Linked DNA regions of Elephas maximus indicus. The protein of the gene in region 4 interacts with the protein of the main gene of each other region in a biochemical or structural test. Links are inferred from orthologs where the notes say so. Each region holds a gene or a part of one and is shown on either strand. Other genes may lie near its edges. The genes, in order: THRA, RXRA, TGS1 and NCOA6.

Evidence for each region.
Region 1: the proteins of NCOA6 (region 4) and THRA form a complex in vitro, tested with the Homo sapiens proteins (2 studies listed by BioGRID). The link is inferred for Elephas maximus indicus from reciprocal best matches to the Homo sapiens genes NCOA6 and THRA.
Region 2: the proteins of NCOA6 (region 4) and RXRA form a complex in vitro, tested with the Homo sapiens proteins (5 studies listed by BioGRID). The link is inferred for Elephas maximus indicus from reciprocal best matches to the Homo sapiens genes NCOA6 and RXRA.
Region 3: the proteins of NCOA6 (region 4) and TGS1 form a complex in vitro, tested with the Homo sapiens proteins (2 studies listed by BioGRID). The link is inferred for Elephas maximus indicus from reciprocal best matches to the Homo sapiens genes NCOA6 and TGS1.

What each region holds. Positions count from the first base shown.
Region 1 is NC_064837.1:47,293,146-47,300,947, reverse strand, and holds the start of THRA (thyroid hormone receptor alpha), read right to left. Parts: upstream 3,006-7,802; 5' UTR 2,785-3,005; intron 2,604-2,784; exon of another isoform or gene 2,438-2,603; intron 1-2,437. Other genes in the region: MED24 (mediator of RNA polymerase II transcription subunit 24), read left to right, coding at 6,385-6,485.
Region 2 is NC_064827.1:4,206,811-4,214,030, forward strand, and holds the start of RXRA (retinoic acid receptor RXR-alpha), read right to left. Parts: upstream 3,011-7,220; 5' UTR 1,884-3,010; coding exon 1,784-1,883; intron 1-1,783. UniProt on the Homo sapiens protein: Receptor for retinoic acid that acts as a transcription factor.
Region 3 is NC_064837.1:77,267,146-77,275,112, forward strand, and holds the start of TGS1 (trimethylguanosine synthase), read right to left. Parts: upstream 3,005-7,967; 5' UTR 2,839-3,004; coding exon 2,735-2,838; intron 1-2,734. UniProt on the Homo sapiens protein: Catalyzes the 2 serial methylation steps for the conversion of the 7-monomethylguanosine (m(7)G) caps of snRNAs and snoRNAs to a 2,2,7-trimethylguanosine (m(2,2,7)G) cap structure.
Region 4 is NC_064843.1:34,635,874-34,643,333, reverse strand, and holds the start of NCOA6 (nuclear receptor coactivator 6), read right to left. Parts: upstream 3,012-7,460; 5' UTR 2,809-3,011; intron 1-2,808. UniProt on the Homo sapiens protein: Nuclear receptor coactivator that directly binds nuclear receptors and stimulates the transcriptional activities in a hormone-dependent fashion. Coactivates expression in an agonist- and AF2-dependent manner.

The DNA.
Region 1 (7,802 bases), on a different chromosome or scaffold from region 4:
TTTGGGACCTAGCTAGCTGCAGGCTACAAACCAAGGGCTTCCACAGAGCTGGTGTCCCCTGGCTGAGCCCCCCAGCTGAGGGGTCAGCATGGGCAGCAGCTGACCTCCCTCCTTCCCATTCCCAGCCCCCCCAAACTGGCCAGCCACAGCTGTAGCATTAAGGAAGCGCAGGATGTCCTGAGCAGCCAGCTGAGCCCCCCACCCCCCACCCCAACCTCTACTTGACCCCAGAGGCAGGGCAGGCGGGGCGCAGGGGCGGAGTTTGAGTATTAACAACTGGAAAAGTATGAAGAACATCACCGCCAGTTCCCAGCTCTGAGAGAGGAGGCTGTGGCAGAAACAGAGACAAGGATGGGGTAGTGACAGGGTGAGAGAGTGTTCCAGACTGGCAGAGAAAGACAGAGAGAGAGGGAGAATCAGGCGCAGCAAGACTGAGCAACAGAAAGAGAGAGAGAGTTACAAATTCCAAGTCAAAAATACACATCACTCACCCAGACACTCAACAGCATACGGCCTCCTAAGGAAAGCTTCCAAGTTTGGACAGAAGGGCCGAGGTGGGAAAAGGGGCCCAACTCATGGTGGGAGGCAGGAACTCAGCTGGGGGCTAGGGTGCGTCCCCAGGAAAGGCCCAGGCATATAATCCACAGCAGGGGCAGCTAGATCCCCCAGTTTGCTTTTAGGGTGGGGATGAGGACCACTCCCTAGGAGCCAGCTCTCCCCAAGACACCCCCTCCCCCAGCACTCAGGACAATCCCAGCTGCTAGAAGTCACTGGGCACTGCTTCAGACCCAAGACTGGGCCCTCTGGAACCTCCCTGCCCCTACTCTCTTTGCTCTTGTTTCTCAGTCCCTCCAAAAAAAAAAAAGAGTCCATTCCCTTAAAACTCAGTGGCTGATCCTAGAGGAAGAAGGAAAGAAGACATAGAAGGAAGTTTCAGGAGAAAAAAGCCTGTGATTTTGTGGGTATCCAGGTGTGTGTCTGACTGCATGGGCTGCAGTGTGTGCATCTGGGGTTGTCTGGACACGACTGTCAGGGTGGACCTGAGACTGTGTGGGCCTGGGCTTGTGAATTGGGTCTGCACCTGAGCCGGTGGGACTGTGCAAATGAGTGCACCTGTGTCTGCAGTTCCCACAGTCAATTAACACATATTTACAGGACTTCTTGTGCTAGGCTCTGGGTGGTAACCAGAGCTGTTGAAGTGATTCCCCCAGGTCTCAAGGAGCTAGGAGGGTGGTAGGAGACAATCAATAGAGACTGAAGACGTGTTATCCTGAATGCCTGCCTCCTTGTACCATGATGCAAGAAAGTCTTTTCACAAAGGTGAATTTAATTTTCTTAGGAGCAGGAGTTTTGCTGTATACAGAACCCCAGAGCCACACAGTAAGAATCCAGGAAAATACTTGTTGCTAAGTTGTGTACATGTGTTGATGTGTAACTGCATTTCTGTGACAGCGGCTGTCACGGCGGGAGATGATGTCTGTGTGACTGGGGTTATGTGAGCACATGTGTGCCTGTGAGTGACGGGGTCTTTTGTAATTGTGCAGCTGTGTGCAACGCTCTGTGTGCATGCATGCTTGTGACAGTGACTCCTCCTTGCCCCTGAGTGTGACAGTATCTCTGTGTTACCCTGTGCGTGGGTATGTTCATGGGTCGCTCTCCCTGCTCTTGGTCTCCCGTGGGTGTGTCCTACCCCTCTGAGCTCCACAGTGCAGCGGCAGCCTGCCCCTTCTCTTGTCCCCGTGTGGGTGTGTCCAGCAGCTCCTGTCCTTGAATCTGCCTGGGTGTCCCTGGGTGTGCATGTGGCTGTCTGTGTGGGCATATTTCTGTGTCTGCATGTCACATTCGCTGCCCCCCTCATCTAGGACAACAGCCCCCTTCATCCCCTCCCCCTCCAGCCAGCATTGGCTTTTCTTCTGTGCCCCCACCCCACCCCTGAAGCAGGTGGCTCTCTCCATTGTCCCTATCATCTGCCCCCCCCCCCCCCCGCGCAGGCCTCTTCTTCCACATGGACAAGGGAGGCTCCAGACAGAGAAGGGGCATCAGAGACCCATTGCAAGGAGCAGAAAGCAAGGAGGGAGAATACACACAAGTCCTTTGCTCCCTCTCTTCCCCAGCCATCCCAACCTGCCACGCTTCTAATCTCCTAGGGACCCTCGACCACAAACCCCCCACACACACTTTCCCCCCCGAGTCGCGTTTTTGCAATTAGGAGTGTTGCAACCAGAGAACCATGCTCAATTGGAGAGGCGGGTGGAGTGGGAGGGGGAACTTCCCTCTCCCCGCGCCCGTGCAAGGCCACCCCCCGCCCCCCCACCGCACTCCCACTGCCCTCCGCAGCCGGAGGCAGCTTTGCAATGGCCACTCGGCCTCGGAGGCTAGGGGTGGGGGCTGGGGGGGGCAGGCCTCCGGCGCACCGTAAACAAACAGCGGCGCGGCGGGCGGGGGAGCTCCGGCCGGCCAGCAGCCCGGCCCGACCCGGGAATGCGCAGCAGACTGGCCGGACAGAGGCCGGGCGGGCCCTAGAGGGGGAGGCCCGGACGCCATCTCCACCGGCGAACCCCGGGGCCCACCGACCTCCCAGCAACACCTCCATTCCCCAGGGCGTAAGTTGCAAGCGCCCGGGCTATGACAGGGTAACTGGGGCGCCGGGAAAGGCGGTGGCTGGCAACCGGATCCCCTGGGCGCCCCCAGACCGCCTAGGAGCTAGCCTTAGAGCCCCGCAGCTTTGCATAATCAATCGCGATACATTTGCATATTAATGCCCCCTCGCTCCCTCCCCCTTACCTCGGCGTGGCGCGCTGGACCGGGCTGGGCAGCGACCAGGAGGTCTCAGCGCCCCGAGCCGGGGGCGTCCATGGGGGGCCAGTGGGGCCCGGCCGCCCGCCTCCTGCGCCCGGGTGTGAGTGCGAGTGAGCGCGGGGGGGGGGCGGGGGGCGAGTGTGGCGGCCCCGCGGCTCCTCCAGCAGAGGCGGCGGCCGCTCTGGCTCCTCCCTCCCCCGCCCCGCTCCGGCTGGGGCTCGGGCTCGGCGCGCCCGGCCGGCTCGCGGCTGCTCCCTGCAGGCCGCCGCGCCGCCGCGGGCCCCCGCCTCCCGCCCCCCGCCGCGCCCCGGGACCCCCGCCAGCGCCCGGCCGCCCCTCGGCCGCCTCGGCCCCCGCCCTCTCAGATGCGCCCTCCCTGCTCAGGCGGCTCCTGCAGGAGTGGTACTTGCTGACAGATTTTGGAAAAGATGTCTTTTAAAAAATAGCCTTTGCTTGGGCAGTTCGGGGTTTTCGGTTTGCACCATGGGGGCGGGGGGGGGCCTGGGAGAGAGTGCCAACGGGCCTCCTGCACCTCCTAAATAGGGGGGAAAAGCCTAAATACCAAACGCCTGGAGGTTTCGAGTTCATTTCAGAGTTCGGGTCCCTTCTCTGCCAGTACCTCACTGTGTGACCTTGAGCAAATCACCACCGCTCTCAGGGCTCAGCTTTTTCAACCTCAAATGAGAGGGTTGGGCAGGTGACCCCTGAGGTTCTTTTAACTTCAGTCATCCTTTTAGGGGTTATCAGCTCATTCCCCATTACCTCCCTCCCCTCTCATTTCTAACGTTACTGATCAGCAGCCTCCCCTTTGAAATGTCACCCTTTTCTAAAATACGCTCTTTATATCTCACTGTCACCAGCCTTTTCCCCAACAATCTGACCCCGCTGAGCTCGGGGAGGGGCCAAACTTGCCATACCCCCTCAACTCCCAGTTTGACAGGGATGGCATTTTCTCCCATGTTTGCCCCCACTAAAACCCAAAGGTACCAGGGCCATTCTAAGGAGGAGGGTGGGCTGTATAAAAACGGACCCCCTTTCCCAAAAGGGAGGTCTCCATTGTGCTAACCCCACCCCCCATGCACACACACATACACACCTGCATTCATGGACATAAAACCATCCCAGTGACGCCAGAGCCCCTTTCATCTCAGGATCTCCCAGCACCAGGCAGAGCTCTAATTACCCTAGCACCCACTCCCCACCCCACCCCCCCGCCCCACCAGTTCCCCTGCTGTCATTAGCCCAGTTTTACCAGCGGGGGCCACAGCCTTCCCACATCTCCTAGGGTGGGGCTCCATCTTCACAGCCTGCTCTTGTGGAGGTGTGTGTGTGTGTGTGTCAGGAGGAGCCTTTGTGTTCATAGCCCAGTTTGTACTGGGCAGAATCACTTTCTGAGTGTGGGATTCTAACTGGCTCTGGTGGGGTTCTGTTGCTCAGCAAGTCAGGCTGCCCTTAATCATCTTAGTCTCAGCCACCTGCATCCTCAGCTCTGTCAGAGCCACTTCTCTTACAAGGGGGACTGGGGTTCACAATTCATGGGGGAGAGGAAGGTGCCTTTCTCAGGGCCCCTGGGGCCATGGCAACGAGAAAGGCGGCTGGGGTGGCAGCCATGGGGTGCAGAGTGGATGGCAGTGATGAGGGCTGTGCAATGCATGACAGGAGCCTGCAGTGTGCATGCAGTGGCAGCTGTGGTATGCAGAGACAACACAGAGTGAGTGAACATACAGGTTCAGTCTGGGCTCACAGTGGACACGTGACAGCTGCAGTGTGGGGCTGGAGGCTGCAGCGTGCAGTGTGCAGTGCGAGGTGCACTGAGGGTGGCTGTCTGCGAGTCACTGCCACCTCAGTGATCAGCTTTGGCTGAAATCCTGGAGAATAAGTCTGCAATGAGCAGCACTCAGGGTGTGTGTCCCACCCACTATGGAAATCGCCCCATAAGACTGGGCTGCCTGAGGATTTGGCCCATGAGATACACTGGTAGTCTGCAGTGAGCCTGGCAGAACCAGGAGGGGATAGACAGGCCCAGAGTAATCTAGATTGGGGCAGGGGTGATGAGGCCCAGAGGGAGAATGAGGCACCTTGAACTCAAAGAGAAGAGTTTCCCCTTTCCATCTTCTTATCTCTCTCCCTCTCTTGGTTCCCAATATGAGCTGGTGACGGACCTGGGCAAGGGCAAAGTGAAGGGCATACTGGCTCCAAAGCAGCAGACATCTTGCCAGGTGCCAGGATCTAGCCCAGGCCTGGCCTTACAGCCCTTGCCCCTGTTTTGGGCCATCCCTCTTCCCACCCCACTTACCCTATCCACCCCTGTTTCTTGAAGCTTCCAGCTCTTCTTGGATTCAGTTCATCCCTGGCTTCCATTCCTCCTGGCTACAAAACCCCCACCTGGGCTGTGTTGGCACTGTCCCCTTCCATCCCCCCACCTCTGCTTCATATCAAGCCCTGAGTCTGTAGGGAGAGAGGGAGGGTGGGTCACAAGTGAGGATGGATAAGGACCCTCCAAGGGGATTTGTCTGGCAGCCTGCTCTCTCTTAGATTTCCGTTGCCAAGGAGGCAGCAGGAACAGCCTGTTCTCTGGCTCCCATCGGAAAAGCCATGCTCAGTCCCTCCCTCTCTCTTTCTCCTTCCTTCCCTCCCCCCTTTCTCCCAGACTGTTGCTAGGAAGCACCCTAAGATTTCTGGAGGGTTCCGTTCCTAGGGACCAGAGACTCCAGATATCTTTCTGAACAGCTTCCTCCAAAAACCTAGCAGCCATGATCTTACACAGCATCCTCTACCCCTGTCAAGAAGCCTCGCACACCCCCAAGCAGTTTTTTTGGGAGCAAGCCTTTGCCAGCCTGCCTTGGAACCAGCTCTGTGGTCCCAGCCTTGGTGATTCTTGTCCCTCATATCAACCTCTTAGGCTCTGGGTGATATCAGCAAGTGATAAGGTATACAGTGGAGATACCCCTTGGCTCTGTAGACACAGCCCCACTTATTGGGGTACACTGGAAAGACAGCAGAAGAAACTGAAACACTACCGTAGAACCTAAACCCCAGGTGTCTCTTCCCCTTAGAGATCTCCCAGTCAAGAAGAGACAGGGAAAATGGAGGAAAGAAAAGCTGGGGGGGAGGCAGGGAGGAGGAGCAGACTGTGGGAAGTTAACGAGTAATTACTCTGAAAAGAGTAAGCCAAAAACCAAACCTCCCCCCCCATTCCCATCTAGTCAATTCCAACTCATCGTGACCCCATAGGACAGAGTAGAACTGCCCCACAGGACCTGAGGAGCAGCTGATGGATTTGAACTGCTGACCTTTTGGTTACAGCGAAGCTCTTAGAAAAGAGGAAAGTGGCCACTCAATTCACCTCTATCAATCTCCTTTGTCCCGTCAGGTGACTGGTTATGGGTGGCAAAAGAGGGGGCTAGGGAAGGGACTCAGGCCTGGCTGAGCCTTGCTTTTGGTAACTGAGGTAAAAAGTGGAAAAAGAAGCTGACACCTTCCCCAGACTGTATTTTATTTGACACACATTATTTTCACCATTTAATGTGTCAGGTATTGGATCCCTCAGATTTTCCCAGCTTCTGGTTTCACTTTCCCTTACAGCATCCTCATCACTGCCTTTACCAAAAAAGAAAGGAGCTGAGGGGCAGACTGCTTTACCATCCAAGCCTGGGGCTGACCATCCTGCGTCCTTCCCACAGCAGGTGAATGGGAGGGTCTGTGTCGAGGCAGGCAGAGTATACAGTATGTAAGGCAGAGTGGCTCTCAGGCCCTAGTGTAAAGGAAATAGCAGGCAGGCCTCCTTTCCCTGCCACTGTCCAGGGCTCAGGATCACAGTACTTTTCTTCCACTCTAGCACTTCTCTTCTGTTCCTAAAGGCATCCTCCAGGGTGTCAGAAAGGAAGCTATTCCAAAGGTTGGTTCAAATTCTGCTTTTCATTGTTCAGCCAGTCTCTTTCTGGACCTCTTGTGGGGGCAATGAGAAGACAGAGACTGGGAACAGTGGGGGACCCATGAGCTGTCCCTGAGGTGTGGTCACCTGTAGGCCTCTCCCCCATCATCTCCTCTCCCAGACAGAAAGCAGGGATTTTGATTTGGGAACTGGAGGGGGAAGGGAACTGGTTTGGAGCCAGCTGTGTATGAGTGTGTGGGATGGACATTCTTTCTTTCCCCATCCACCTGCTGCCAGTTAAGTCCCCATAGTGGAGGGACCCAGGCAAGCTTCCAAAGAAAGATCTCCCAGTTAGGAGAGGGTAATGACTCAGTTTCCCTATGGAAATGAAAGAAGTTGAAACCCTCTGTGTCTTGTATGCTTGCCAAGTATTTCAGTCTTTCTGGGCTTTTAGATTTGGACTCTTGCCACTTTTCCTTATACACCTTCTTAGCCTAGGTAAGAAGTGTACCCTTCCCTTTGGGTACCCAAAACTCTGTTCCTCACAACCTCTTTACCCACCCCAATCACCCACTCTGGCCTAGTTCCTTTTTTAGCCACTGCTTCAAATGTTGCCATGTCACTGCCTGACTGGCTTCCATCTGCCTGTCTTCTCCAGCCAGACCCCTTCCCCAGCCAATCTAGCCAAAGGATGAAGAGATTGGGGCTCAGAGCTAGGAAAGCAGACAGGGGAGCTCAGCCCCTATCTGTGCTGAATCAGAAGAAATAGATAGAAAAGCAAGTGGAGTAAATAGGTGGGATTTTTGGGCAGGACTGAGGGGAGAATTTCCTTGTATACCCTAAGGGGATATCAGCATCTCTTCTCTCACCCTCTGGATGATTATCAAGGAGTCTAGTCCTTGTGGAATCTAGTCAGAGAGCTGAAGAGGGTCCCTAGGAAGATATTGGGGAGGTGGTGTAGAGAAAGACTGGCTTCTGATATTTACAGACTAGAGAGCCAGAAGGGCAAAGCAGAGAAAGTGAAAATGACTCTTGCCCAGAGCTACCAAAACCCATTACCATCAAGTCAATTCCAACTCATAGAGACAGAACAGAACTGACCCATAGGGTTTCCAAGGCTGTAAATCTT
Region 2 (7,220 bases), on a different chromosome or scaffold from region 4:
CCAACACCCAGCCCCCAGGCTGCACTCAGCTGTGGCTGTCAGTCTCACGAGGCACGGCTGGCGCTGCCCCAGTGCCCCAGGGCTTGAGGAGCAGGGCGGACTGGGAGGGGTCCATGCTCCCAGAAAACTTACAGAGAAGGAGCACAGAGCCTCACGCCCAAGCCGACAGCCCCTGGGACTCAGCAGCCACGTGGCCTTGGTCTCCCTCCAGGCCCCTGGTCACTCCATCCAGGCCGCGCCATGCACGCACCCACCATCTGCTCACACTGCTCTTGACACCTGAAACCCCAGTGGCTGTGGGACCCGCGGCAGTTGCCCCCCACCCCTATAAAGGCACACACCACTGGAACTCACTAGATCCCCAAGTCCCAGGCCTCTCCCCACCCGGCTGTCCTAGGCCCCCTCGTGTTCCCTGCAGACCTGCACAGCTCCTGGCTCACCATAGTCCGCTGGGAACCCACACCCACCACATGGAGCAGGCACCTACGCTCAGCTTGCCCAGAGTGGGGTTCAGGAATGACAAGGGGTTACACTGCGGAGTGAACGGGTACAGGCTTCGGTTCTGGTGGGCAAGAGTGTGCCCTTTTCTGCATCTTCGTTTGGCCTGGATTCTGTGTCCCCTGGACGTGGTATTTCATAACAATGACACAACCCCCCAAGCCGATTTCGGCGAGACCTTGGCCAGACAGACCCCATTTCCTCCTTGACCTCCCCTGCTGCGTCCACGGCTGGTTCAGGGCCCAGGACCACACCTGGGCCAGCTCACCCAGGTAGGAGGGTGTGGTCAAGTCCTGCCTGGATCAAGGATCAGGGCCCAGCCTACTTCCTCCTTGCCCAGCCCAAGTCAAAAGCTTTATTCCCAAGAGGCAAGCCAAGCCAACTCAGCTGTGGCTGGTGGTCATCCATGACCCCTAGATCCTCCTCAACTGCCTGAGGGCCTGTGCTCCTGGGTGGGGCAGAAGTGGGGAGGTGCCTGTGGAGTCCTTTTGGTGCTCACCTCACCCAATAGGTTCATTCGTGCCCAACCAGCCACATCACCTGGAAACAAACCCCTGAGTCCTCAGGGGTCAGGGAAGAGAAGACCTCAGGGCTCCCAAGGCTTAACCTCAGCCTCACAGGGAGCAGGCGGGCCGGGGACTGTGCAGCTTCTTCAGCCGACCCAGCCCTGGGGGAATGGGGCTCGTCCTGACCAGGGGCCTGGCACCCAGCCCACCCACCCCCTCAGACCCGTGTGGACCAGCCTCAGGCCCCACAAAACAACCCTCCACAATTGCCGTCTTCCTCTTCCCAGCCCCCACCCACCCATCCCCACCTCTGCACAAACACAGGCCCTGTCTGCAGGTCACACCAAGCCCTGAGGGTCTGAGCCTGCACCTGGGCGTGGCCTAATGCCTCCTGGCCCCCAACCAGAGTGCTCCCAACATTCAGCAAGAGCCAAGAATGTGGCAGGCACAGAGCCCAGGCCCAGTGCAGAATCGTGACAAGCACGCATGTGCCTCTCTGAGGATGGGCAGAGACACATTCCCCACGGGATCCCAGCTGCCCACTCTCAGGCACGTATCCCAGCAACTCCACACTCAGGGGAGTCAGGTCGGTGGCTTGAAATTGGCCGTGACGGGACTTCCCACCACGGAAATCGGCCAACACCACAGAGAAGCCCCACCCCCAGGGCCAGCTGGTAAACGTGCACCAGCTTATATCAGCTGCCCCTCTCCAGGCCTTGGTTTCCCCACATTCGGCTGGACAGAGCTAGACCAGTGAGCTGAAAGCACCCTTCACTTACCCCAGGACCCGGAGTCCGCAGACCTGCTGCCCCACCCAAGCCCAAGGGGCTCCTGGTATCCAGCCCCCTGTGTCGGGTCCACTCGCCAGGGCAGCAGCATCCAAGATGGCAGCCCTGGGGAGAACTCCCAGGGCTCCTGCCTTTCCTCTCAGCCTGCAGGCCAGGCCTCTCTCCTGCCGCCTGGACCCTGCCACAGCACTGTTCTGGACTCCTCAGCACAGGCTCCTGGACCTGGGAGGCCCTACGGGCCCCCAGCAGCCCCCACTGCCCTCCCCCGGGCCTCGCCCTGGCTGGAGCCCTCCGGGCCCAGTCAGCAAACACACACAGCACCCCCAGCTTCCTTCCTCACACCCTCAGCCAGCAGCACGAGTAGGCCCAGCACGGGCGGGGGCAGGCAAATGAGGCCCAGCTCACAGTTCCCCTCCACACCTCAGCTTGGCCAGCTGCCCCATCCCTCTGGCCCTATCTCGGCAGGGGGGCTGGGAGCCTCAGCAGAGAGACCACAGGCCCGGGGCTACCTCAGGAGAGCCCCACTGACCACTACACGGATGTACCGTACGACGAAGGGCAAGCCCCAGACACGTTTTCGTCACCCCCACCCCAGAGCACAAAAAGGTGCCAGGCATAGCCGCAGCCCAACCACCACTGGGCACCTCTGTGTCCGGACCCAGAATAGGTGAGGAAGCTGCCTGCTTCTCAGTAGCTGGGCTGGTGAGGACACCCGGGTACCCCACTAATTCACGGTGTCACCCCTCGAAGCTGCTGACCAGGAAAAAATCCCTAAAGATGGGCAAGGCCAGGAGGCCCTGTCAGCCGGAAGAACCTCTGAATCCGCCAGGGATCTCCACTGGCTGCTTGCCCGCTCATCATCAGGTGCCTGCCCGGGCCAACCCCTCCGTTCTGCACATCAGCTGAGGTCGGCGTGTGGGAGTAGCCATCTGCCCCTGCCGGACGAAGTCCTAGCCTCAGAAAAAGCACGAACATGTCCTTCCCTTGGTTATTCTCGGCTCCCGCCAGGGACGCTTCCTCGAGGAAGGCTTCCCTGCCGCTGGCAGGCAGTCTACTCTCAGCGCATCCAGCCCTAGCTCTGTGGCAGGCGCCAGGTCTGCAGGGGCCTGGTGAGGGTAACAAGTGCCCGGGGGCAATCTCTTAAGTTGCCAATTCAAGATGAGCAGACGTTAATAGCGGAAACACCTTCCCCCCCTTGTCCAGCTGTCTCAGGCGGGCACCTTTCCTATTTGTGGCGCCTCAGAATATCATTCCACATCTCATCTGCCACCCCCTTAGACTTGTGTCAGTGGGCAAGTACCCCCCCCACCCTTCCCCTCAATACACCTCTGTGGGTCTGCGTCCCCCACCCAACTGTGGGCTCCAAGACTGGCCCCACCCCTGGTCTCACTTCAAGGCCTCTGAACCCTCTAAGCCCCGCCACAGCTGGCCCACCTCCTTGGGAGCCCCGGGCTACCTCTCTCCGTCCTCAAGAAAAGGAGCCCCCGAGTCCTCCAGGTGGCCCTCCTGAGATCAGGGCTCTGCTGTCTCTGATAAGGGGAACCTCCACTTTGCAGACCTCACACTAGGTGGAGGCTACTGGCCACATGGGAGACCCCTATGGCTCAAAGCTCCATGATCCTGATCTGGCAGCTCTGCAGCCCCAGAGGGCCCTCTTCTGGCCTCAGACCTTCCCAGCCTTGGAGTGAGGGTTTGGCCGAAGGTGCTCGGATCCTGGGGGAGCTGGCTGGCAGCCAGTTTCCTTTTCCCACGCTGCCCAGGAGCAGGAGTTTGGACAGAACAAGGCCGGGGCAGGGGTGGCAGATACTCCACAGTGGCAGGTCACTGGCCATCGGCCCTGGACAATCCCTCTCCTATCTGGTCCTCAGGCACTCCCCTTGCCAGAAAAGGAACCTGGGTGCCGAGCTTCTGACCACTCCATCTGCGTCCCACCCTCAGCCTCCTGGCTGAACTCTCCTGGCCATTCTAAACTGACCCCGGGACACAGGCTGCCTGGGCGAGCTCTGAGTGGTGTAGGGCCTGTACAAGGGGCTCCTACCCCCAGTCCACCCAGCCTGCCCACCCCACCTCACAGACAGGAACCTGAGACCCTCCTCCCGGCTTACCGAAGGGCAGGGAGAGACCTGATCTTGAGGACATGAAACCCTCAATCCAGCCCTCTGTTTCACAGGGGAGAGCAGGCAGCCCCCAGCTGCCGCCCTGTGCCCATGTACAGCCCCCAGGTTCCCAAGCCAGGCCCCAGGCAGGCCACACACAGGCCTCGGCACGCCGGCCTGGAGCCCGCCCCACCCACCCCCTCCCTGGGCTAAGCATGACTCATGGGGCCGGCACGACGCCCCCGTCCATACCGGCAGGCAGGCCGCCCTCTGAACACGCACCTGCCCAGGCTTGACAGCAGACAGCGCCAGCAATGCCAGACCGCTCAGGACGCTGGGCAGCAGGAGAGGGTACCTGGGAGCCCAGGCAATGCCCTTGGGGGTGGGGGGCACTGAGAAAGCAGCTGCACAGCCCCCACAGGGCTGGAGTCCTCGAAAGGCCCAAGAGACCACTTGAGTTCACACCAGGCCCTGCGCTGGAGCCCCCGCAGCCGAAAATGGCCCTGGAGCACAGACAAAGCCTGCTGCACCCTCTCTGGTCACCAAAGCAGAAGCCATTGGCCAGCCTGTGGGCTCTGCTGAACTGGAGGCTGGGACTCTCAATCCAGGCCCACTTCCCCTCCCCATGGGAGGCCTCCGGAAAGACAGAGCTTCACCCAGGAGGGAGGTCAGCCAGTGGGCCTCAGGCCTCTGCTCTGAACGGACACCCTGAGGACCTCAGGCCAGTGTCTGCCTGTCTCGGGCCTCAGTCTCCTCACCTGTAAAATGGGCAGGTGCTGTGAAGGAGACAGGCCAGGACACCATCCTCAGGAGCCCCCAGGGACAGGAGAGAACTGAGGAGGGGCTTACCTCGTGCATGTGCTCCTAAAGGGAGCCGCCAGCTGGGGGTGGGAGGGCTAGGCGGATCGTGGGCCTCAGGGCGGGAACTAGAGCCCAGAAGCCATATCGCTGGGAGGAGCGGGGGATAGCTGTGTGTCTTCACTGACTGGAAGACGGCGGCAGAGGCTCTCAGAGCTCATCACCACCCTCCCTGGCCAGGAGTAAAGGCAGGGGCTCCTGGTGCCCCCACCCCAAGATAGGGCTGGGCCTCTCTTTCCGCACAGGACGGAGGACAAGCCGACTGGACGAAATGAAACAAAGTTACAGCCAGGACCGCCCAGCCCACCCAGCGCCACTCCAGGGTCCTCTGCAGCCATAGGCGGGACTGAGCTGCCATGGGGCAGGACCACCACTGGCCGGGCTGGGGCCACTCTGAGGATGAAGAGTCGCCGCCCCTCCCTCAGCAAACCCCAAGACCAGGCTGCCTGCCAGAGCCACCGGAGCTCCCCACCCCCTGGCGTGTGACCCAGAGCCACTGACCAGGCCTGTGGTGGCCACAGCCCCCACTGGGCCCCTGCCCCTCAGCACCAGGTGCTCTGACTAGGCAGCATCCACCCAGAGGGCAGCTCCGTGGGCCACCCAGAGCCTGGCTCTGCGCAAACAAACCAGTAAGCACCCACATTCCCCTCCAGGCCAAGGGTCCCCCACAGGGGCAGGCAACCTCAATCCCCAGCCCCATATTCCAGAGACTTAAACTGCCGGGTCCCTGCGCAAAACCACAGCACAGCAGCGCCTACGGGGCCCCACACTGCCTATGCCGTCGAGAACACGCCCCCTCCCTGTGACAACAGTGAGCACAGACCCCTTCCCGAAGCAGCCGGGGTGGCCTCGGGCCTCAACGTGCTCTTGACCGCCTCCCAGCCTTGCCCACAGCTCTGTGGCTGCCAGCTTCCTGCCGGGCTCCCGCCTAATCCCCAAACACAGTTCGGGGTGAAACCTGCTCACCACACGCAGTGGCGTGGCTCCCGAGACCAGCAGGCGGCCGCAGGCTCCCGGCAGGAGAAATGAAAATCTCTACAAGAATTGGGGTGCTCCTCACTCCCTCCAAAATCTACCACACGAAGCTGCGGTCCCGACCCCAACTCCATCCTGAATCAGCCCGGGGCTGAGCAAGTCATCCAAAGCCTGAGGCCTTGCCCATCACTGCGCAAATGGGAAGACAGCTGACCCCACCCACCACCCCAGGGAGGAGGGCGCCAGGAAAGTGCTGAGCTCAGAGGGAGTGTCAACTGGATGCCCCCTGGGAAAACCAATGCCCTGGGCACCGCCCCCCCCCCACATCGATGGGCTAGTCTGATCAGGGCTGCAACCAAGCCAGTGTGTGCTGTGCCCACCAAGACCCGCCCAGAGTGACCACCTTGGCCACCCTAAGGGCCCAAGGCCCACACAGGTGGGTGGACTGATACACAGACACACTCCTACAGGGATGTTCAGGGAACCGAGCCCTGATTCATGCACTGCTGCAGGTAGACCTCACACAAGGCCACCCCACACGTACCCTCTGGGACTGCCCAGGGCCTGTGCGCCTGCCCAGCTCAGGGCTCAAGACCAGCAGCAGGGGCCTGCCTGGGATGCAGCAGGGTGCACAAACGCCAGAGAGGCCACCTCCTCTAATGCACCTGTCCTGTCTCCCTCGGCCACACGGTCCGCACCAGGCTGCTGAGCAGCCCGGCCCCTCGTTCCTCTCAGCTTCGAAGAGCCACCTCCAAGCCCCTGCCTCAAGGGAGGGAAGAAGGCAGATGCCCTGAGCCCCAGCCCCACCAGCAAATGGCAACCAGGCTGGGGGGGGTTCTCTGATATCCACGGCACGCCAGGCCCTGTGCTGGGCGCTTCACAATAGACCCCCTCAGTTCTCTCAACAACTCCATGTTGTAGGCATCACCCTCTTGTACAGAAAGGGAACAGGGGGCTCACAGACATGAAGCCAGTCAGCAGTGGCTGCTTGACTACAGACTGCACTCCAGGAGAGGAGGAGGAAGGAAGAGAGGAGGGAGGCAGCTGTCAGGGATGAGCAGAGCCTGTGTCTGGCCCCTTTGGCCACAGCGGGCAGCAGGGGGGCTGGTGTCACAACACTAGTGGGGACACAGGTAATGGACAACGGGAGCAGCACAGATGAACGAGACAGACGCTGGCACACGTGGAGGTAAAGGCACAAGGCCAACCCCACACACACCCTGTGGGGGGCCCAGAATCCCCCAGCCCCTCAGAATGCCCTCCTAGTGGTCCAGTGCTGCCCGGAGAGCAGAAGCGTGGCAGAGCCAGTGTCCCCAGCATCCAGCACCCGCAGCCTCTCCTCTAGCTGCCCAGCCCCGGGGAAAGGCCTCCTTCTTCCCCCCAAAAAACAGGCAGGGAATGTGGGGGCAATCCCCCCTCCTCACAGGACAGCCCAACCTTGACAGAAACGGAAACTCTGTATTCCATTTTTGCTTAGAAACGATAAACACCAAGACACA
Region 3 (7,967 bases), on a different chromosome or scaffold from region 4:
TGAAACACGTTATGACAGTGTATGCCCTGGGCTTCCCTTCTATCTCTCTCTGTCCCCAGTTAATGCACCTCTTCTCTTCCTCAAGGATGGATTCCACCCTTCCCCCTCTCTCACTGGCACTAAATTGATGGTTTCAAGTACTATTTAAAAATGGATCGCTTAAGCTCTTATGACAAGCTCAGCTGTCTCTAGAGCTCTAAACCGATGTATCCAACTACCTATAACATCTACTCTTGGATATCTCATAAATGAGTTGCCACTGAGTGGATTCCAACTCATGGCAACCCCATGTGTGTCAGAGTAGAAATGCACTCCAGAGTTTTTAATGGCTGATTTTTTGGAAGCAGATTGCTGGTCTTTCTTCCCAGGCACCCCCAGGTGGACCTGAACCTCTAACCATTTGGGTGCATTAACATATGTACCACCCAGGGACTCCAAGGTATCTCAAGATCAGTACGTACAAAATCAAACTCATGACCTACTCAGTGCCGTCCCAACATAAAAATCATGATCCCCAGGGGTCTCTGGCTCAGTGACAAGCAACAGTATAAGCCAGAAACCAGGTAGTTATACTCGACCCAGTCTCCTCCTTCCCATCCTTCACTGCCCCATCCAATCCAATTTGCCAACCCCGACCATTTCTCACCTATCTTTTCCCCAGTCTCTATTTCCACTGCCATTGATCCTAATCCAAGCCATCATAATCTCTTGCCTGGACGATGGTCTTAAAAGGTTTTCCTTGAAAACATTCTCCATTCTGCTACCAGAGTAATCTTTTCAAAGTGCAAATGTGATCATGTCACTCCCTACCTTAAAGTCTTCCTATAGTCTACAGAGTCCTGCATGTTTTGATCCTGCCTACCTCACCAATCCTATCTCCTACCTTTCCTTCCCAGTCACTGTATTTCAGTTTTGCTGGCTTTCTTTTGATCCTCCAAGGGGCTTAAATAGAGTTTCTCCTTTGGACACGTTTCCTCCCACACATAATTATTAGTTACTAGTTGTCCTAAGCTGACCCTGGCTCATGGCAACCCCATGTGTGTCCGAGTAGAACCGGGCTCTGCAGCATTTTCAAAGGCTGACTTCCACCCCACCCCGACCCCTGAAGTTCATGAGGCCTGTCTTCTGAGGTGCCTCCTCAGTTTATTTCCACTCAAACTTTAGACCTCTATTCAAATGATACTTCCTCAAAGAAACCTCTGTGACCCTTAGATAAAGACTAGGTTGTTATAGCATGAAACCAAACCAAACCCAGTGCCATCGAGTCTATTCTGACTCATAGCGACCCTATAGGACAGAGTAGAACTGCCCCACAGCGTTTCCAAGGAGCGCCTGGTGGATTCGAACTGCTGACCCTTTGATTAGCAGCTGTAGCACTTAACCACTACACCACCAGGGTTTCCGCATCCTCCCATACCACTTATAAAATAATTAACTGAGTGATTATTTAAATAGTTGTCTAAATATTGATCTCCTTTCTGAGAAAGTCAACAAAATGGGTGTAGGGACGGGCTGTTCTGTTATCCCAGGGCCTGTCAGGGTTGCTAACACAATAAGCATTCATCTAATGAATGCATGAATACAAAAACAGGTTTTGTTTTGAAAAGACCTACTTTTTACATCAAGTTTAACAAAAAGTTTAGTTTCTTTTTGGGCTAATTTTCAGATTACTTCACAAAACATGACTGATAGTTAAAACAAATATTTCAGCGACAGGGAAGTAGGGCACTGTCAGTACTGTGATTATACTTCAGGCATAGGAAAATATTTTAAAATTCCGTATTGATGTAAATAATCTCTTCCAATTTAAATTTACTACATTCAACATATCAAAAGGCTATTACACAAAATTCATTCCCACAGGATTTGATTCTCTCAATAAGCATGTGAGATAATTAGGGCAAATATGCATGTTTTAGAAATGAATAAAGGTTTAAGTAATTTAAGTCACAGATATAACATTGAGAAAATCATTCCTAGAATCCAATTCTCTAGTTAGCTTTTTCCCATACACTAGCTATCTTCCATGCTGGACAATTTTTGCCTGATAGAAACATTTTCCAAAGATAAAGATATCTCAAAAACTGATGCAAATATAGCTAAACATTTTATCTTATATAATCATTAGTTCTAATTACGTACATTTCAGCTTTAATGTGTCTTAACATTTTTAAAAAGATGTTGACCAAAACAAGTATCCAACTTTAAAGCTATACCTTGTGACATCACATCCACTAAAGAGACCACATTTTGTATTCCACTTTCCCCCAAAATTTAAATGTGTCCTCAGTTTATAAGGAAACCCTGGTGGCGTAGTGGCTAAATGCTACGGCTGTTACCCAAGAGGTCGCAGTTCGAATCCGCGAGGCGCTCCTTGGAAACTCTAGAAGTCAGTTCTACCCTGTCCTATAGGGTCGCTGGGAGTCGGAATGGACTCGACGGCACTGGGTTTTTGGTTCTCAGTTTATAGACATGAAACGACACACGTTAGCTAGCACATTTTTTCCTAAGAGCTTTCGAAGTAGGTTTAGTCCTTCACGTACTAATAACGGCAGAAAGTGACCACTTGGTATCACGCCTGGGGACCCGTTTTTCCTTTTTCTTAAACATTATCTTGCCCGAGCGTCAAATACTCTGGCCGTGGTTTCAGGGATCAATGAGAACCACGTTTGCAACAGCTACATTTCTCAGAAATGGTCGTACTAGCAATAAGGAGAAACCCGCTCTTACTTACTCCACAAACGCCCTGGAGCAGAGACAGCGGATCCTATAATCCTCCTCCAGGTCTTCAGGGAAGAGATACATTTCGGCCACGCGGCTCCACTTTTCGCAGCACATTTTATCTCCTCAGAGGCAGCCCTGTCACACATGGCACGGGCCGGGGCTCCGCTCGGTTACCAGGGACGCGCAGAAAGCCTCCCCCGCCTCGCCTGCCCTGCAGACCCGTGGTTAGGAACGCGCCCGGGCCGCTCGCGCAAGGTAGCAGCCGGGCCGCCGACGGAAGTGGCAGGGGCGGCACGGGAAGGGGCGGGGCCGCGGGGGTGTACCAGGAAACGCGGCCCGGGCAGCGGCGGCCATTGGCTTCCTTCTCACAGATGTGCCCGCACCTCAAGTATCCGAGCTTCATTCAGCGGTGGGAACATCAGAAAGCTCTCGCCGCCGCTCGCTCCCACCCGCCCGAGGTGCGTCGCAGCTCTGCCTGGGCCTTTCCGCGCTGCTCCCCGCCCGGTGTCCGGGCGCGTGCCGTCTGGCCCGGCGGGGAGCGGGGAAGGCCGCGCGCGCGGCCCCCGCAGCTCCGGCTCCTCCGTGACCCAGGCGGGAGGTCCTACCTGGGCTCGCTCTCCTCTCGCCCCGCATCTTCCCGCGCGCTCAGAACCTTCCAGTTTGGCGTGTCTCGTCGAAACCTAGGGGATAAGGAGAGGCTTCTCCTCCCTGGCTGGAGGCCTCTGGGCTTGCCCAGCAGACCCTTTTCGAGCCTGCTCTGTGTAAAAGCTGAAGGAAATTATGTGAGGATAACGAGAGTTCAGAGATGGGTCTTAGGAAGTGGCTGGGAGCGTTTGCATCCTTGGGACCCGGGTTATGACCCTGTGGTGGCTGTGCACCTGGGCAAGCGACTTCACCTGCCTGAGCCTCGTGTTGATAATCTGTAAAACGGGCATGATTTCTCTTATACCTGTGTCATAGGGCTGTTGAAAGGGCTGAGTGAGACAATGGATGTCAAACTTCGCACCAGAAACTCGTTGCCATCCAGTCCATTCCCACCCCGAGTGACCGTATGGACAGAGGAGAACTGCCCCACAGGGTTTCCAAGGCTGTGAGTCCTTAGGGAAGCAGGCTGCCAGTGTTCTCCCGCCCAGCGGCTGGGAGGGGCTCGTCGCGGCGGTTTGCGCCCAGTAAAGCAGGTCCAGCCGCTACTAATCCCAAAAGAATGGTAGATGGGCACGTAAGTAGGGTAGAGGAGACCGGAGCAGCGCTGCTGGGCTTGAAGAAGGTGTGTGGTGGTCGCTGACTGCCCAGGCAGCTTCCTCCAGGAAGCAAGTCCGGGCCTGGTGGTGTTGGTGCGTTGTACTGTTAATGACTACGAGCATTGGTATTTCTTTAGAACTATAAAAAACTGAAATAAAATCCAGACGTTTAGAACGATCACCAATATTTTGGCCGCATTTACTAGTGCGGACAAAATATGGGTGGAAATAGATTAAATTTAAAATAAAATGTTTATTCCCATGGCTCTTACTTCTGCTTTGATGTCAGAGATAGGCCGACCTCGGTGACTCAGGAGTGTAAGAATGCTGCAAAGTTACAGATGTTGTATGCCTTTGAGTTGCATCTGACTCAGAGCAACCATATAGAACAGAGTACAGCTGCCCCATAGGGTTTCCTAAAAGCTGGTGGAATAAGAGCTGGAATCCACCAGCTGTTCCTTGGGAACCCTATGGGGCAGTTGTACTCTGTCCTGTAGGATTGAGGTGAGTCAGGATCAACTTAAGGGCAACGGGTTTGATTTGTTGTTGTTAATGTTTATGGGAGCAGATCAGATCTCCGGGTCTTTTCTCCTGCTTGAGTCATTGATGGATTCGAGCAGCTGACCTTTTTGGTAAGCAGCCAAGCACTTTACTATTGTGTTACCAGGGCTTCTAAAATACACCTATATAAATGTGCAACTTTTTTGTGTGTGTTTTTTGATGAGTGGCTAGGTTAGTAAAATAATAATGATAGGATAGTAATCAAATAGAAGATTTTAACTAGAAGTTAAAGGGGATTCTACTCAAAAGGCAATTCATATCAGATCTAGAGTTTGAAGCTGGAAATCTAAAAGGCATTTTAAGAAGATGCCCACTAACAGCAGTGGATTTTATATGGTAAATGGGTTGGGTTTGCCAGGTATCTTGACTGAAGTATTAGGGAAACTTCACTGTTCCTCATGGTAGGATGCTTATTTGCTAAAACTGAGGACTAGACCCGTGTTAAACCATTTTAAACATACAGAAAAGGAAAAATTAATTTGTAGTTCACTGAGTATTTTTTTAGATTGACGTTTTCAGAGTGTTCGCAATGTGGCTGTTACACAAAAAGTAAGGAATGAATATCTGCTACCATCCATAGTGGTAATAGTACTGGTATTGGGTGTTTAAAAGTAGATACATTCCCTTAAAGTTTCATAGAAAACAAAACAAAAATTAGTTTTTTAAAAAATTCCTGTAAGGTTAATTATAGAAAATGTACTTCACCATCAATATCAGTTATTGATATTTCAGCTTGTCATCCTTTTCTTACAAATTAAAGTTGCATGAATTCCAAAAAGGAAAAATGATACTTCCCAGGTGATTATAGGACTGTGTTTTACTGTAGGTTTTTTTTTTCTCTTTTGTGTATGTGGTAATAATAACCTGGAATTTTGGTAACTAAAATATATATCTCTCAGAACACGTCTTTTAACAATTACAGTTTTTATTGACTTAAAGGCGGTGGTAAGGAGTCAAGTACAGCTTGTGATAAATTGGAGGGCAGAAAGGCTGGGCAGAAGTAGAAGACAGAAATTACAGTCTTCATATTTTCAACCTTTCTGTTAAGAAAAATTAAAGAACGAGTGATGGAAACTAGGCTAGGAATTAGGAGAACTGGATTTAAATTTGGGTCCTCATTTAACTAGTGTTGTGACTTTGGCAGGTCTGCTTGGCTTTCTGTGTTTAAATTTTGTTTTCTGCAAAATTCAGAAGTTGCGCTCATTGAGTTGTAAAGCCCCTTTCTCAAATTATTCAAAGAAAATTATTTTATCAGCTCAAAAGCATGATATTCAAACTCCTCTCAAAGCTCTCCAGTGGCAAGTTTTAGGACACTGTCCTGGTCCACATTTTTGTCAAAAATTTTGGATGAGCACAGTTCATATACTAGCCAGCATTTATTTGTTGAGTGCCTACTCACTGCACGCCAGGCATTATTCCAAGTATGTATATATTTTTAAACTTAACAGCCTGTTTTGCTTACCAAATATCCCAGTGCCTAGAATAGTGTCTGGCATAAAGTGTTTGCTCAGTAAATATGTTGAATGAATGAATGAATGACCCAGTGATGTAGGTCTTCTTTGGACCACCCGCTTTTGTGTACACTGTAACATTTCCTTTCTTGCCTGGTCAAGGACATGCCCCCTGCTGTTTATCTTTCCCCATAGTTTCTGTCTTTCCACGTAGTATATATTTACTCGTTTCTTTGTTTATTGTCGGTCTTCCCCTTCTAGAACGTGAGCCGCGTGAGGTCATGGATTTTTATTTACTGCTGTGTTTGGAAAATGCTTGATACATAGTATGTTACGCAGTGGCTCAGTAAATCTTCATTGAGATGGTCTCTAAATGCAGGTGGGATATACACAAGGTTGCACTTTGGCTTTTGTGGACTTGTTTTAATTTTCTTTAGCTTGAACTAGCATATGAGCAATTGATGGTCCGTTCTGTAGTCAGCCCCTGACCTTGTTCTGACTGATGATGCTGAGCTTATCCATCGTCTCTTTCCACACATGCAGTCAGTTTGATTCCTGCGTATTCCATCCAGCAAAGTCTACGTGTATAGTTGCCGGTTTTGTTGTTGAAAAAAGGTATTCCAGTGAATGAGTCGTTAGTCTTGCAAAATTCTCTGTGGAGTTGTTTCTGTCACCAAGGCCATACTTTCCAACTACGGATCCTCCCTCTTTGTTTCCAACTTTTGCATTACAATTACCGGTAATTTTCAATTACGGGTCAGCCCACTGACTGGAAGAGATCCATTTTCGTGCCCATCGCAAAGAAAGGTTATCCAAAGGAACGCAGAAATTGTTGAGCAATATCGTTAATATCACATGCAAGTCAAATTATGCTGAAGATAATTCAGAAACGGGTGCAGCAGTATATTGACAGGGAACTGCCTGGAATTCGTGATGCATTCAGAAGAAAACATGGAATGAGGGATGTCATTGCTGATGTCAGATGGATTTTGGCTGAGAGCAGAGAATAAGAGAAAGATGTTTACCTGTGTTTTATTGACTATGCAAGGGCATAGTCATGGATAATGTCACACAGAATTGGAATTCTGGAACAGTTAATTGTGCTCATGCAGAATCCATACATAGACCAAGAAGCAGTTGTTCGAGCAGAACAAGGGACTACTGCGTGATTTAAAATCAAGAAAGGTGTTTGTCAGTGTTGTATCCTTCCACCATACTTAATCAGTCTGTATGCTGAGCGCATAATCTGAGACACTGGAGTATATGAAGAAGAACACGATATCAGGATTGTAGGAAAACCCTTTAACAACCTGTGACATGCAGATGATACAAGCTTGCTTGCTGAAAGTGAAGAGGACTTGAAGCAGTTACTGATGAAGATCAAAGACTACAGTCTTTAATATGGATTACACCTCAACCTAAAGAAAACAGAAATCCTGACAAGTGAACCAATGAGCAGCGTCATGATAAATGGAGAAAAGATTGAAGCTGTCAAGGATTTCATTTTACTTGGATCCACAATCAGTGCCCATGGAAGCAGCAGTCAAGAAATCAAACAATGTATTGCACTGTGCAAATTTGCTGCAAAAGACCTCTTCAAAGTGTTAAAAAGAAAGATGTCACTTTGAGGCCTTAAGGTGCACCTGACCCAAGCCATTGGTATTTTCACTTGTCTCATATGGATGAGAAAGCTGGACAGTGAATAAGGAAGACCAAAGAAGAATTGATGCATTTGAATTATGGTGTTGGTCAGCAATATTGAGCATACCATGAACAGCCAGAAGAACAAACAAATCTGTCTTGGAAGAAGTACAGCCAGAATGCTCCTTAGAAGCGAGGGTAGTGAGACTTCGTCTGAAGTACTTTGGACACGTTATCAAGAGGAACTAGTCCCTGGAGAAGGACATCATGCTTGATAAAGCTGAGGGTAAACGAAAGGAGGAAGACTCTTAATGAGATGGATGGACACAGTGGCTCCAAGAATGGGCTC
Region 4 (7,460 bases):
ACTGAGCACTGTGCTTGACACACCAGATGTCTTGGCACACAATAAATAACTGTTGAATGGAAGATATGCCTGGTAGTGGGAATCATAGTAGGCTTCTTAACGTGAGGTTTAGAGACAAGAGCTCATAGAGAGAATTCAGGGAGTCCGTGAACTTGTGTTATTTTCACTGAACTCCAACTGAAGTTACCATTTTCTTCAAACATAAGTGTAGACAAAAAATCATTGTACTATTAGCAGCACCTATGACTCTGTCAATACAAACATCACAGATACCTTTATATATTTCAGTAGTTATAGATATCTAAAAATATTACTTATACTCATTTCTTTGAAATTAAAATAATCAGACCCTTCACTAGATCTTTTTGTGTTTAATTTTTTTTTGTAATTTTTATTGTGCTTTAAGTGAAAGTTTACAAACCAAGTCAGTCTCTCACATAAAAACTTATGTACACCTTGCTACATACTCCCAATTACGCTCCCCCTAATGAGACAACCCGCTCTCTCCCTCCACTCTCTCTTTTCGTGTCTATTTCACCAGCTTCTATCCCCCTCTACCCTCTCATCTCCCCTCCAAGCAGGAGACGCCAACAGAGTCTCAAGTGTCCTGATCCAAGAAGCTCACTCCTCACCAGCATCCCTCTCCAACCCGTTGTCCAGTCCAATCCATGTCTGAAGAGTTGGCTTCGGGAATGGTTCCTGTCCTGGGCCAACAGAAGGTCTGGGGGCCATGACCACCAGGGTCCTTCTAGTCTCAGTCAGACCACTAAGTCTGGTCTTTTTATGAGAATTCGGGGTCCGCATCCCACCGCTCTCCCGTTCCCTCAGGGGTTCTCTGTTATGTTCCCTGTCAGGGCAGTCATGAGTTAAACAGCCGGACATCATTTAGTTCTTTGACTAGATCTTTTTAACGTGCTGCTAAAGTATATACATTACTATATCACAGTTTGTAATATTTTAATAACTATTTCAATATAATTGGTTTCCTCTGTAATCCTATATTATTTTATTTTATACAATTAAAAATATTATTCTGAGAGGAGTCCATAGGCTTCATCAGATGCTAAGGGGCCCATGACACCCCTGTATTAAAAAGACCCAGAATAAATGAACTGCGTTGCTGTATATACATACAATAATGAAAATTTTACTGTTATAAATGCTCTCTTAATCTTTTTAATTTTATGGGGGCTCTGGGCCTACCACATCATGACCAATTTGCATAGTTTCCCTGAGAACTCTACCACAGCCCATCTGAACTTTGAACTCCTTTCTATTATGATCAAACTTCGACTAACATTTGATCATGACAGAGATTCTGGGTCTCTACCATTGTTTACTGTTATCTTTTTAGGCTTTTTGTGTCCATTTACGGTATAAAACCAAACCCACTGCTGTCGAGTCAGCTCCAACCACTAAAAGAGAAGGATCATTTCTAAAAATTATAAGAAGTTAGAGGTCAAAAGGGTCTTGAAGATAACTTTTTTGCATAAATGGAAGTGAGCTAATAACAAATAGCTGGTTACCTATACTTTTTGGTATTCCCCCCCCACCCTCTGCACTGACAACGCATTATAAAACCAATTCATTAATAGTTTTCTGATACATACTGCCATTCTTTACTTAACATTTTTCTCCCAGCTACCACATGCTTTTAAGGCAGCGTGATGAATGAGAAGGCAGCAAACCTGAGTTCTGGAATCCCCTCTGCCACTGCTTCTAAGATCTTGGGAAATCAACTTTACCTTTCTATGTCTCACCTAAAATCACTACATAATCTGAAACCATTACAGGATTCACTCCTTTTTACCAAGCTTACTGGCTTCGATAAATGCGTTTCCGACGACCTCCCTAGGTGACCCTGCTTTTAAGCAGTGGGCTGTCCCTTTCCTGGGAAGACACCTTGGGTCACCGCCCCCAAACAGCCTGGTTCCTCCTTTTAAAGACACAGACAAACTCCCTAAATTGATGGAGGCTTGCTCTCTCCTTGCCAACAGCTCCACTCGGCACCCCTTTTGCTGGCCAGCTCCTTCACTCAAACCTCAGCCCCTTCTTCTCTCTTCCTCATCAAACCCTTCCCTTTTTCTGGTGCTCTCGCCAATGAAGGGTGAAGAACCCTGGGGTACATAAGTCTTCAGTCCCTTGGGGGTTATAAAAACTTGCAATTCAGCGCCAGGACTCCGAGGGCTGCCCAATCCAATACCTCCGTCTGAACCCGAAGGTCCCCCGTTTCTAATCAAACCCACCTGGAGAACTGTCCTAGCCTTGACAGCTTGAGCTAGGCCCCCACGTCCCCCGGGTCGAACCTGTACTGGGGTCCTGAACACCGCCCATGGCCCAACTCGGCTTCAGGTCCTGCCCCCACCTAACTCAGTAGACTCCGGCCACGGTTCCATTCGGACCCAGTGTCCCTTCTTCGCGACCCCGGCCACGACCCCACGTCCGGCTCCCGCCAGTTCCCTGGGCCCCGAGCGCCACGCCGTGCAGACCCCGGCCCGGCCCTGCACTCCCTCGGGGCTCCAGACCCGGCGACCCACAACCCCCCCACCCCCGGCCAAGCCCCCGCTCCCGTCGGCGCCCCCGCCCGCAGGCCTGGGGCCCGCTCCCCAACATGGCGACGGGGACACCAGCCCGGCGGGCGGGGCGGCTCCGGGCCCGGCCCGTACTCGGGCCGCGCTCCACGGTCGGCCGGCGCCATTTTCCCGCGCCGGGCCCGAGCGGCACTTCCTTCCCGCGGAGCCAGCCGGGCCGAGATCGCGGACGCCCGGCGGGCCCACCCCTTACGGGCCCGCGTCGCCGTCGCCTCACCTGAGCGCCGCTCCGGCCCTCCCGGGCGGGCCTCGGAGAGCCGGCCCGGGCCGTGCGTGCCCGCAGCCCTCCGTGCGTCCGTCCGTCCGTCCTCGCGTGCGCCCGTCTGTCCGGCCGTCTGCTCCCGGCCGCCCGCAGCCCGACCCGCCAGGGCCTCAGGGAGCCGGCGGGGAGGGGGATGGGCCGGACCGGGCCGGTGAGGGAGGGGGAGGGAGGGAGGGAGCGCGGGAGGGGGCGGGGCGGACCAGAGGGGCGGGGCCCTGTCCACGTGACCAAACGTCCCCGGGAGCGCGAGGGGCGCGCGCCCGCTCACGTGGGTGCAGAGCATTTAGTGCTGGGATGGCATGGATTTGTGTCAGTTTCTCTGCTCCGTGATCTCACCAGTGGCTCCTGCCCCGACTTCTAACCACTGCACAACACAGCGGGAGCGCTCTGGCTGGGTGTCCTTGGGTAACTCACCTCTCCATGCCTCAGTTTCCTCATCTGAAGTACGGGGATAGTAGTTGCGATTGACAAGAGGAAATGGGAAAAGCATGGAAAGCACTTGGCACAGGGCCTGGAGCGTAACGAAGATAACAGCCTTTATCATTATTTGTCTGTAAGCTCCTCTCTACTTTTTCTCATAACCACCACACTAGCAAGCTCTGTAGGTGCTCAATAAATATATCCCTTTAGTGAACAAGTGCGTGTGGCCCCCTCCCCTCTCAAATGTGGGGAGGACCCCCCAGCACTGGACTTGATGTCATACAGCTCTGAATTCAGATCTGCCTTTCCCTCTTGATAGCTGTGTGATTTTTTTTGCCTCTCTGAACCTCAGTTTCTTCATCTGTAAAATGGAAGTAAAGAGTCTCTTATGAGCATCACAGAAGATAGAAGATGAGCAGATGGATTGTAAACTGCTTATAGGTGTCCTGGTCTCATCTTAGAAAAGAAGTCGGGAGCCCTTTCATTCACAGGTATTTATTGAGCACACACTATGTGCTCGGACTAGTGTAGTACCCACTTACAGCCTTTTCACATGCTCCCTGCACCCTCTCCAATCTATTCTCCACTCTGCTGTCAGAGTAACATTTCTAAGTCAGAAATCTGATTATGTTAGTCCCCTATTTGAAACTATTTGACAGCTTCATGTTGCTCTTGAGATAAAGACCAAATCAATGTCTTACTGTTGTCTTCCCCACCTCTCCAGGTGCATCTCAGGCCCTCTTCCATCTCTGGGCTGCAACCACAATGGTCTTCTTCCCAATTCTTTACACATTGTAATCCCTCCCTCCTCAGCACCCTTGCACATGCTCATTCTCTGCCTGAAATGCTCTGCCCCCCTTAGCCTTCAGATCCAAACTCAAATGTCACTACCCCAAGAACGCCTTCCCTGGCCATCCCCCCCAGACAGGCCCCCTTAGCAGCATGCACTTATCCTTGATAGAACAGACTAGGTGGTTTATTGCCACTAGAATGTGGACTCCCTTGTTCACCGCTGTTCCCTCAGCATGTAACACAATGCCTGGCACAGAGTAGGCGCTCAATCAATATTTGCTGTATGTATGGATCCTGTGCACTATACTAGGTGCTGAGTCCAAAAGGACAGAGAAAAGCAAAGAGAACAACAGTGCAGCTATAAAATTAACACCGAAGGACTTTGCAAGAGGCTGGACATTATTTTTTTGAAACTTTTGAAAAATTGAGGTATAATTTATATGCAGCAAAATGCAAAAATCTTAACTTTATACCTAATAAATTTTTAGCTATGTTCCTGTGTTAACACCTCTCAGATCAAGTTATAGAACATCTCTAACAGCCCAAAGGGTTCCCTTCTGTCACTTCCAGAACGTCCCCTCCCAGTCAATACCTGATTCCCCAAAGGTAACCACTACTCTGACTTCTAGCACCGTAAATTAACTTTGACAGTTCTTGAACTTCACATAAACAGAACTGTATAGTACGTACTGTTTTGTGTTAGCCTGGAAATCTGACAGAGCTAAAGAGTGACTATTTGGATAATGATACAATTAATGTGTTGCTTGACTGATTAGTTAATCTGAAAGACTGAACGAGAAACTCTGGTCACTTGATCCTATTTAGACAGGGGTCCTGCCAGCAGCCAGCCCAGAGGCTGAAATGACATCATCCACAGACCTCTGAGCCCCACAAAAGCTTTTGAAGGTAAGAAAGCTCTGAAAAATTCCACAACCTGAGCCACTGTCCTTACTTTTCACTTTCTTATCCATTTCCTTAAGCCAAGGGTCATTGGTTTTCCCGGGATCAGCAAGGAAACAAGGAGTTGAGGACAGAGGTGCCAACTTGGTTGCCTACACATCCTGGAAGTGAAAATAGCAGCATAAACAGGGTCCACAGCCCCACAGGAAGGCAACAAAGGAACAAGAACAGACCATGAACTGGCAGACAGTGTGCGTAATGATTACAAGCTTGGACTCTGAAGCCAGAATGCCCAAGTTCAGGTTCTAGCTCTGCCATTTATTAGCTATGTGATATTGAGCAAATCCAATCTCCTTGTTTTACAGATGAGAAAATGAGAGCACAAGGAGATAAATGACTTGCCTAACAGGGTCAGTTCTACTCTGCCCTTTAGGGTCACTATGAGTTGGAATCGACTCAACGGCAACAGGTTTGGTTTTTTTTTTTGTTTGACAGGGTCCAAAGCATTTTCTTTGTTTCATTTATTTTGTTTTGTGTCCCAAATAGACTGTAAGTTCCCCCAAGGAAGCTCTTTTTGAATAACCATCACTTGTAATATCACTTACCTTTTTTGTGCCTTAGTTGTGTTATCTGTAAGATGCAGATAATAAGGGCTCCTATCTCATAAGGTCCTCAGGAGAACTAAATGAATTGTTACATAAGAATGTCTAGAAGGGTGTCTAGCACAGATGATGGCCTCAACATGCAGCAGATGAACACAAACCTCTGAATACATTTTTAGGCTGTTTCACAGAGTGTTTTGAGCAAAAAGTAGTCCTAAGATGCCCAGCTTCTTGTTCCGGAATCAGACTTGGGTAAATAAAAAGCAAATCCATTGTTCTTTGATATGAGCAATTTATTCAAATGAGCATTTATTGAACTTCTATTTTCATATGTACATTAAGCTTTGAAGTGATAAAATTGATAGTGACTACGTGAATGATGTTTTTCAGAAGAACAAGTAACAACGAACATGGGGAAAAAAAAAAGGACAAACCAACCCAGAACGCACCAACATTCTACTCTCTGCAGGGCTCATCACAACAAAACCAAACAGGGTTACCATATGCAATTCGGGAAATTGTGCCCTGCAAGAGGAAACCACATCTAAGTGGGCGCTATTCCCATTATAGACATTGTAGGTTTGTAAATCTGTTGTGTTAATTTACCAGCAGATGGCAGTAAGTGCCTTGTTATTACAAAATACGCTCATAATTTTCAAAGGGAAATAATGTACACTCTTTGTACTTTGCATAAAGGCTTAGTTCGTATGAGCATGTGTAAAGCTGATGAATTTTCACAAATTGAACAAACCTGTGCAACCAGCATCTAAATCAAGAAACAGAACATTACCAAAAGCCAAACCAAACGCATTGCTATCAATTCCAACTCATAGCAACCGTACAGGACAGATTAGAACTATCCCACAGGGTTTCCAAGGAGTGGCTGGTGAACTGGAACTGCAGACCCTTTCATTAGCAGCTGAACTCTTAACCACTGAGCCATTACCAGGCCCCCAGAAATCCCATAGTTTCCCTTCCCCTCATTACCACCCTGAGAGCAGCATCCTGAATCCATAGATTAGGTTTGCCAAGTTTTAAACTTTATATATGTGTGTGTGTATATATATATACATATATATATATGTGTGTGTGTATATATATATATATATATACACACACACATATATATAAATGGATTCATACAGAATGCACTCTTTTTGGCTCCTTTGCTCAATTTTATGTTTTCGAGATTCATCTATATTTTTGCATGTAGTTGTAGTGTGTTATTTTCATTGCTGCATAGCATTTCACTGTTTGAATATCCTATAATTTATCCGTTCTACCACTGGTGGGCATTTAGGTTTTTCCTTTAGGGCTATTTTTAATAGTACTATTATGAACATTCTTTTTTTTTTTTTTGAACATTCTTGTACATATCTTTGGGTAAACATATGTACAATGTTCTATTGGTTATATACCTAGGACTGGGGTCATAGAATTGGCTTGTATTCAGCTGTAGCTGCCATACCCATTGCCATTAAGTGGATTCCAACTCATAGTGATCCTATAGGACAGGGTAGACCTGCCCCATAGGTTTTCCTAGACTGTAATCATTACAAAAGCAGACCGCCACAACTTTCTCCCATGAAACAACTGGTGGGTTCAAACAGCCGACCTTTTGGTTAGCGGCCAAGCATTTTAACCACTACCCCACCAGGGTTTTAGCTGATAATGCCAAATTCTGTGTATTTTTTAAAGCAGCTTTATTGATATATATAATACACATTTAAAGTATACAATTCACCCATTTAAAGTACACAATTCAAATGGTTTTAGTATAGTCACAGATATAAGCAACCACCACCATAGTCAATTTCAGAGCATATTTTCATCACCTCAAAAAGAAACCTCATACCCTTAACCGTCAGACCTCTCTTCTTCCACTACCCCAGC